2 linked regions of the Nothobranchius furzeri genome follow. The protein of the gene in region 1 binds, or shares a complex with, the protein of each later gene. Links are inferred from orthologs where the notes say so. Each region holds a gene or a part of one and is shown on either strand. Other genes may lie near its edges. The genes, in order: lin9 and lin37.

Region 1 (4,578 bases):
TGGTGTTGAACCAGGAAACAGATTGTTTTACTTTGTTAAATCTTCTTAAATGTTTAAAATGTTTCGTCCTTAACTGTTGTGAATGGAGAGCTTTTGGGGGACGGCAGGTTGTGTCAATTACGCTTTTGATAAAAAATAAAAAGCAATTATCTGACATCTTCAATTCATCGATGAAAACAAATCAATATGAAATAATCGTGACGCATCGGGATATCGAATCGAATTGAATCGAGAGACAAGTGAAGATTCACACCTCTACTCTACAGGAACTCGGCTCTCACTGTTCACTTTGAAAACGTGTTCAAAAGATTCGATTTGTTCATGAACGTCACATTACTACTGTGCGTTCATCTTTTTACAGCTTAATCTAATGCGTGAAACGTGTCCTCAGCCTTCATTAGTTTAAACAGAAGCGGTTCATCACTAAATCAAACAAATCAGCTGTGTTCAACATGCTGGAAGCAGACTGCAGCACTGGCATGTCAGCTCAACTTTACAAGGTCCAAAAGGGACCGGAAACTGAAGTTGCAAGTGTGATTTTCTGGCCATAGAGGCGGTGGGGTCTGAGTGACATTTTATTAACCCTGTAAAAGGTCATTTTAGCACATATCGGCTCAAGAAAATGATTTAAAAATATGAAGAAGTTGTAAAATATGCCTTTAAACAAACTATTTGGAATGAATGAACCAATGTTCCCAATAAAATCCACTAAAATGTTGCTTTAGAGGGCAGTATGTCAATATAATACTGCAGAACAGGTCAACCAAGTTCATCTCCTCTTCCTTGAATGCACCAACACCCCAAACTGTTTTGGTGCAACTACAAACAAATTTTATGATCATAAACGTCCCCAAAAGCAACCATTAAGTCATGATTAAATGTCACAAGTCAGCATTTTACACACACTTTAGAAAAGAAAAGCAGAAAGACCATCCTATGTATAACAACCTTATTGAGTGGAGTTCTATGGTCCTTACACCTTCGCCAAATAAACGTTACAGCAGTTTCAAAAGCTTAAGATTTTCCTGCATCTTACGTGCATGAACAGCACACACATGCACAGAACAACTCTTTCACTTCCTGGTTTTACAAAAAAAAAAGATACTCTTGAGTAATAATTTGTACTATCAAGCACTTTTAATGATTTTGAGACCCCGTGAAAACTTTGGCGTTTGTACCTGTGGTGTAGTGGAGACCCTTTGGCTCCTCCGAGGGGACCTGGAAGAGGGACGCTGCTGCGGCGATTCATCTTCCTCCCGAAACAAACGGCTTCTCTTAGAGCTCCTTGTAGGCTGAAGACACAAAAATTAAGTTTTCTCAGAAGAATCGATATTTTTTTTATAGAACTGTTTCTCGACAAATCTCAATTATGCCTCCAAAGTGTCTTCAAGAAAGTCCATTATTAATATTTATTCAAACTTTTTATGACAAATATACAAATCTTATGTAATTGTAGCTTTCCAAACAATAATAAATGCGTTTCTAGTTCATCTTAATTAGTCATGATAAAAGTGATCATCGTTTTACCACGTCCATTGTGACAGATGAATGGCGTCCTCTGGTGTTGTGAGCTCTAGTGAAACTGTTCTTCTCATTCAGAGTGTTAGACAAGCTGCCCTCTGTAAAAAGATGGATTTGTACAATAAATTGTGAACACAATCCACATAAATTTAATATGCTTTCTGACCAAGTTTGTGCTGTTTTTATTACTAGAAAGAAAGCACGAACTGCTGACTTTATTTTGTAAAAACATGCAGGCAGTGCAGGTCATAAGCTTGGTATTATGAGGGTAATACACAGCTTCATGTGTGTGAGGGGCTTAGGAATACTAACCACTTTTATCCAGGAGTTTAATACATATATGGCTCTGACCTAATCAACGTTCATGTTTTTAATGATAAAAACATAGTTTACGAAAAATCTAAATCCAGATCATTTTAACAGTACAAAGAGCAAATTAAAAATAAACAGACTAAGTACCTTTTAAACTGACCAGGGCCTCTGCAGAGGAGCCTAAGGAAGATGGGAAATTGTGCAACATCAGTATCAATTAGCATTATTAACAGCTAAAACAAATGTCATTTCATCAACAAATGTAGGAAATCAGATATCTCCATGTTTGAGTAAAATGCTAATATTACTTATGCTATCAAAGAACCAAAATGACGTTCGGATCGGTCAGATAGGTTGAGTTAGAGGCCTTTCCTCCCAAGTTTCAGCTGTCAAACACGGGTCGAAACATCAGCTTGACAGGCAACACCAGACATGGTGAAGCGAGCTGATGTTACCACGAACTGAAGGTCATATCTAATTACATTAAATTTATTTAGATCCGTTATTTCAGTGTAAAAAGCCAAACCAATAAATGATAACAACAATCGCGTAACCATGTAACAAGCGCTAACAAACCTTATGGTAAGAAAATACATTTCCAGGGAGAAAGATGAGGAAAACTAAGCCTGATTACTCAAACACAGAGTCATTAGCTGCGGTAGTCCTATTGTTATTGTAGCTCTATTTATAAGGTTAGCAGCGGTTAGCTCACAGCTAAGCTAACGGGATTCGTTTACCCAGTTGAGCTAAAGTAACTTCTTCAACTGCTGTATTAGCTATAGTTAGCTCGTGGTGCTAGCAAGCAGTAGACCGGTTTCTACATCCAAACGCGGCTTATAAAGTCAACCCAAAACCTACAATATTTGCCGTATGAACGGTGCTATCGGGTTTCCGCCTGCTGTTTATCTTTTTTATAATAGATTCGCTGCTTGTTCACACTGTAAAACTGACAGTATGGTGTGTTGTTACCCACTCTCGTCTAACAGCTGGTCCATCTCCGCCATCTTGAATTAGCCGCGCCGCTTTTCAAAGACTTTGTCAAAATGCATTCTGGGTTAGAATCCGTCTGGAGGGCGATTTGAGACAAAAAATAAACAAACTGATACAACCACCGGCGCTAAGTCACTTTGTGTCACTCTGACTCATAAACTGTAAAGTATATTTTATATAAGTACAATATTTTTGTTGAAACTTGGTACAGGAATGCAAGAAAAAAGATGGGTGTGGATAACAAACCTTGACTCCACTTAGACGTACTGGAAATGTCCTTTGTCGGATTTAAGAATTCAGACACAAAGTTAACACGTTATTTAATGTTTTACGTTACCTCTACAATAACTAAATTAGCCTATGAGCTGTACTTTAAATATTAAATGCTTTAAGTCTATCAGGTAGTCTCGTGATCACGTTGTTGCTAAACTCATTTTTATCTCGTTAGTATATTATATGCATTTTTTTATTTCACGGTTTTTACATCTTAAACCAAATCAAATTCAAGCACTTTCAAGGTGAAATCAAAGGTTTTCCACCATAAATATTAATTCAACTGAACATGTATGCTTAAAACGCGGCTGTAACCAACTTTATTTAGCTAAAAACCAAAAATGTTAAAGCAGTTGAAACACTTTTAAGAACACGAAGCATTAAGGACATGACCTTTGACCTCCCATAAGATCATTTACTTTCAACATGTTTACAAATGGTAAATAAATGCATTATAGGCTGATTTCCATTCAGAGTAAAACAAAAACATAAAGACAAAAGTCTTTACATGTCCCGTGCTTTATTGTGATTTATGGAACAAAAATTAACACAATTTTCATACAAAAAGTTGTGGAAGACGGCTTGAGACAGAAACAACTAAACAAATATGTACATGTCAGACCTTATACAGTATCATCAAGGCTACTTCAGAAAACAGCCATTGAAATAATTCTGGTCTCAACTCAAAACCCCTTGCAGACACTCTGTAACACTTTAGACGTAAGCTTATCAACAGATTTTCATGAACTGATCAAATTAAAAGAATGAAATCGTTAACCATCATCGTCTGAGGCTTCCTGTATTTTCTACAACCGTCCTGTTGTGATTTCAGTTTTACAAAGTTAACGTGATCCTAATGAAGGCTGCCTGCTACAGAACCATGAAATAGCTGTAAAGTGGTATAATATTCCAGGCATTTGGATGCAGAAGTGGTGTTTTTCTTCAAACGTTGCCTTTTTTCTACCACAGGGATGTCTGGTAATTAAACTTGATCTTCAAGAGATACTTCATGTTTACCTGTGCCACATCATAAACAATGTACCTGGAGGAGCAGTGGTTAAGGAAAACAGAAAACAGGATTGAACGCAAAGGAATAAAAATAAAGTGCATGTGTGACGAGTGAAATAAAGCTACAATAAAGACAACAACAATGTTTGTTATCAATCTATGAGTGATTTATAAATACTTTCAGATCAGATTGCTGTAAAACGTTCCCAATAAGAAATAACTGGATGAATCTCAAAGGATACTCGTTGTACAGTAGACTTGTGTCATCGATGTTAGTGTGGACGCCTTTTCCCAGAGGCACATGCACGCCATTCAAATTGACAGTAGCATTTGGATCAGGAGCAGTTCGACCCAAACCTGGATAGAAAAAAAGGTTAAAGGGAGACTAGTCAGTTTTGACTTGCTTTTAGCACCCTCTAGTGTCAGTTTAGTAGAACCGAAAGCAAAACGTATGCCCTCCCTGTGCATTGGTCT
Region 2 (4,495 bases), on another chromosome or scaffold:
TGGCTAAATGTGAATATATTTCTGTGTAAACCAACAGCAGCTTAACTAATGCGTAGAGCTGTCAAAAATATAAATGTGTAGTTATATATAGTTACACATCTATCTACTACCACACATCAGTATTCAGCTACTGCTTTATTTTTGCATGTTATCTCCTGAGTGATACGGTGAATTCTGAGCAACAAAAGTTTTTATTAAATAAAATTTTTCCTAAGAACTTACTTCTGCCTTATCATTTTCCAGCGTTCCAAGTGGTCACTTATTAGGGATTCTGACACAGGAGCATCACTTGACTGTGAAAAGAGTAACCTTATTCACCATTTTTATACATCTGAAGATTTGTACAATTCTATTTCTCTCTCTCACACACACACACACAAAACGAAGAGAAAAAAAATGTAACGTTCAAGCACCTTTGTAACGATGGGTTTTTCAATTTGTTGAATCCTGAGATTGATGGGTTCACCTGAAGGGCTAACTGGGCTGGGAGCAGGAGGGGGGAGTCGGTACACATTCTGACCTTTGCCGTTTATCATGTCTGTTACCTGGGGCAAGGATAGAACACAAATAACAGAGAGCTCAGGTATGATGGCTAAAGAGATGGTGCAATACTGCCATCTTTAGGGGACTTACTGGTAAAATCTCGACTCATTTCAAAATTCATAAATTTGTTTTAGGCAATGAAAAAACACACAGTTTGTAAGTTTCATTAATATATTACACTGCTTTTCAAACTCGATGCACTTAAAAACCATTAACTTTTCAAGGAAATTACACAAACATGCAGACTGACAATCACAAGTTAAATTTACAATTAAATAAAGTTCATAACTTGGTAAACAACAATTACAATAATAATAATAATTTAATTGTGAAGAGGGGTAGGAGACAAATATTATTTTCACACAAATTGTGTACAATGAAACTTATTTTAAACAATTAAATTAGAAGAAATATTTTGTAAACTATACACACTTTTTCTCTTATGGTTGTTTTGCTTTCATTTCCTTTAAACAAAATTAAATCAATTAAATAATGATGACAGGAATGTGCAGCCTTACTTCTTCCTCCAACATGCTGTGTGGGGAGTTTGGGGAAGCTGTTGGCTCTCGAACAGAAGGGTTGTTTCTCATCCAGGCACGGCAAATTGGATATAAAGGGGTGCTGGTGTTAAACTGAGCCAAATCAACACTGCGATCAAACAACTTAATAACATAAGCATCTAGAACAAAGGCAAAGGAAACACACATCAGGGTAAATAATACTACCGTGTCATTTAATGGAATGTGAGTTGAGTTTACTTTGTTTATGCGGATTGGTTTCTGGTATGCCCTCATCCATCTCCTTCCGTTTCTTCCTTCGATGCTGTGGAAATCTTGCTGAAGGTCTGAAAATAAAATGAAAACAAACATGAGGACTTGCAAAAAGGCTTAAAAAACTGAAATATTTTCTGTACTAAATAACTGAATTCATATAACGATGTGTGCAGATAAAAAATTATGCTGCAATAAAAAAAACAAGAAAATCAAGTATGTGTATGAGGTATTTAGAATTGTATGAGGTATTTGAATAGACTTTACTGATCCCACAGTGAGGAAATTTACTTGTTAGGGCAGCACATACACACAGACATAGGAAAATATAATACAGGTAAACACACAAGAGTATTGGGCTATTACCATAACCTTCAGCAACAAAATAAATGCATAAAAACAGAATAAAATAGAAAATTCATAACTGTTTTCAAGGAGAAAAAGCATAAAAGACACATATAAATGTGCATCTCTGGGTATTGCACATTTATTGCGCATTTACAGAACATAGTACTGATTATTACCTCTTTCCAGCAGAAGATGGAGACAAATCCCTAGAGATAACAAGAGCATTCCATGATTGCACTGAAACACTGTTACAGCTGTTTAAAAATAAAGTGTGAATCCTTCTTCATAATAAAAAGATAAAATCACAAAAAAACTAATCCATACTTGTGCAAGGAGTCCACTGATAATTTTCCTGGATCACCCTCATTTGGTTCTCTGATGAGAGTACAATTAAAAGCATTTAATCATTTGAAAGCATAGCTATGGTCAAGTGTGTTTTACTAACCTCTCATTTTCGCTCTTCTCTACAAGACCCTTTAACACAGCATCCAACTTGCTGCGTGCAGCGGTGTTCTCTGCATCTAGGTAACATAAAAAGCAGATCGATTTAGAGCTAGGTCTCTCGTTTTTGGGCTCTAATGTTATGTATATTGTATCTTTAAAGCAAGCACAAATAGCGAACGAAATTATAACCAATGTTATATTGTGGGTATATCTCACCTAGCCGTTCAGTCTTTATCTTGATGTGGTGCATTGTCTTCTTTTCAGCACTTTTGTAACCTTTTTTAATGTTGAAATTAATTCTTGTTTGATCTCTAACAAAGGGTCCTGGTATCCTGGCTGCAACGGCTGTTTGCCAACAGCACCATTAGCTGACTTACATAGCAGCGCTTAACCAACTGATTATTCGTAAAAGAAAAAGTGAAGAAATTCTATGGCAAAAATATTATTTTATCCTAATGATTTAGACAAAACAACTTTCAATAATTTGCTTCAAATAGTACAGACAACTGGTTTTATTATTCGAACTGTGGAAGGTATTAGCTCAGCTATAGTTGCTAATGTAACTTCAGCTTGCTTCTACAAACTTCCGCGTAACAGGTGTTACCCCGAAATGTGTTCCCTGGTTGAAAACCGTTCCCACTTGGTAGTGTTTTAGCCATCTCCCGGTAAAATGTGTACTTTTTTCCGAGATACATAATAAAAACACAAGGGATGTCTATTTTATGAATTAGTGAGTCAGTTTTATGAGTGGCGTAACCGCGAGCTTATGTCTCACCTAAACACAGAGTTTTTCCCCTCCTGCCCTGATGATTTGTTTGCCGTGCTGGAATGCACAAAAATAACATAATAGATTACTAAGATATTATCTGGCTATTTTCTTAAAATAACGTTGCTTTAAAGACCAGAGATTAAATATAAAAATGAGTGACGCAGGGAAAGAAAACACTTCCGGCGGGGAACACATCTTGATGTAACACCCGAATAGCTGATTGGTGCTTGTTCAAACCACTGTGATTGGACAAATGACATGTGCGCCATTTTAGCGAGGATTTTATTGGCTGAGTGGTGTGGCAAACACCAAAAAAGCGTGACGCTTTTGTGTTTTGTCACCCTTTTTATAGTTTTATAAACTTAGGAAATCTGAGTCTGTAGTAGATGCGGCTGCGTGTAGCTGTTTTAATTTCCTAACTTAAAGGTGATTTGTAGCGTTGGAGTCCATGGTAACTCACGACGCCTAGTGAGAACACTAGGGTTAAAACAAGGAAGAGAACATTTTCCGTTCTTCAATAGTTATGAAATCCAGGTAAGATCCAACAAGCTCCTTTTTATACCACCATAAACAATAGTTTTATCTCTAATGGTTGTTTTTATAGTGGATCTGTGTTTGCAAGGAAGAATCCCTTCACACCTGCATCCTCTGTGAGAAGAGCTCATCATCCATCCCGCAAGCAATCCCTGCCAAAGACAGATGTATGTCAGCTTTGCCAACATTTCTTACCTTTACTCATGTTTGTGTTTTTTAGTCCAGCATTTGGGACGTGATTTATTTTATTTTAGTATTATTATTATTATTATTATTATGCTCTTTGCAGAGTCCTGTGCATCCCAGCCAGAGCTCTAGGAAACAGTGTCACTCCCAGAATGGAGGAAGCCAACAGCTACAGGAGAGTCACGATGGTGGAGATGTTTTTACAGAAATCTGGCCCACCACTGACTACAGGTCCTCTCCTGAAATGCTGGCGTGCGATCTGCCTGCCAGACCAGAGACATCAACAGTTTCCTCAGGAGTTCAGGATGATTCCGTGATGGCAAAGTAAATCTGCTGGTGTTTTTTCACCGTAGAGATGATTGAATTTGTGGGCCTCACAAAGCCATGACGTGTTTTTGTTACAGACACATCGAGCGCTTTGGCCACAGTCAGCCTCAGAAACGGCAGCAGGTGGCTGGAGAAGAGCAGATGCCGTTTGGGTGGATGTTTAACTCATCAGTCCACAGTTCAACTCCTACTAAAGCATCAAACAGTGGTATTATTTTTAACTTCTGCTGTGTTTAGTCACACGACACAGTAAATATTACAAGCTCGTGGGTTGTGTAAAATTTCTGTGACAAACTTTCCGCTGGATCCTTTCCCATGCCCGAACGTGTCCTCCCTCTGAAAGACGGCAGCCCAGCTGGACCGCATCATGGTGACAGATCCATCAGCGTGAGTTCACTGGGATCCTCCTTGACCTGTTGTGTTCTTTCCACTCTGTGTTGGTGACTTGTTTGTGAAATGTTTTATAAATAAATGTGTTTAGTTTTTGAATAATCATAAAAGAAAAATTGTGTAGGCTATAAGTTTACAGCGTGTCCTAGTTTATGCTAACTTCATCTGAATGCCGGAGACAGTT

What was found.
Region 2: the proteins of lin9 (region 1) and lin37 are in contact, whole or in part, in a crystal structure (PDB 7N40), measured with the Homo sapiens proteins. The link is inferred for Nothobranchius furzeri from reciprocal best matches to the Homo sapiens genes LIN9 and LIN37. Residues at the interface, in NP_001353174.1 of Homo sapiens: Lys99, Ala101, Ser102, Gln103, Lys104, Ile105, Gly106, Arg108, Leu109, Arg110, Leu112, Leu113, Lys114, His119, Trp121, Cys122, Ile123, Glu125, Trp126, Phe127, Thr227, Leu237, Phe238, Leu272, Ser273, Asn274; in NP_061977.1 of Homo sapiens: Tyr95, Ile97, Leu99, Phe100, Asp101, Arg102, Val104, Leu106, Ala107, Phe109, Ser110, Glu111, Asn112, Thr113, Pro114, Leu115, Tyr116, Ile118, Cys119, Arg120, Trp122, Met123, Asn125.

What each region holds. Positions count from the first base shown.
Region 1 is NC_091742.1:4,990,986-4,995,563, reverse strand, and holds the start of lin9 (protein lin-9 homolog), read right to left. Parts: upstream 2,904-4,578; 5' UTR 2,838-2,903; coding exon 2,807-2,837; exon of another isoform or gene 2,803-2,806; intron 2,475-2,802; exon of another isoform or gene 2,410-2,474; intron 2,014-2,409; coding exon 1,981-2,013; intron 1,620-1,980; coding exon 1,528-1,619; intron 1,293-1,527; coding exon 1,179-1,292; intron 1-1,178. Other genes in the region: parp1 (poly [ADP-ribose] polymerase 1), read right to left, coding at 4,057-4,138, 4,347-4,461. UniProt on the Homo sapiens protein: Acts as a tumor suppressor. Inhibits DNA synthesis. Its ability to inhibit oncogenic transformation is mediated through its association with RB1. Plays a role in the expression of genes required for the G1/S transition.
Region 2 is NC_091745.1:37,814,302-37,818,796, reverse strand, and holds the start of lin37 (protein lin-37 homolog), read right to left. Parts: upstream 3,009-4,495; 5' UTR 2,356-3,008; coding exon 2,322-2,355; intron 2,187-2,321; coding exon of another isoform or gene 2,183-2,186; coding exon 2,107-2,182; intron 2,037-2,106; coding exon 1,986-2,036; intron 1,868-1,985; coding exon 1,838-1,867; intron 1,388-1,837; coding exon 1,302-1,387; intron 1,223-1,301; coding exon 1,062-1,222; intron 546-1,061; coding exon 414-545; intron 294-413; coding exon 223-293; intron 1-222. Other genes in the region: proser3 (proline and serine-rich protein 3), read left to right, coding at 3,398-3,408, 3,479-3,575, 3,698-3,918, 3,999-4,129, 4,265-4,308.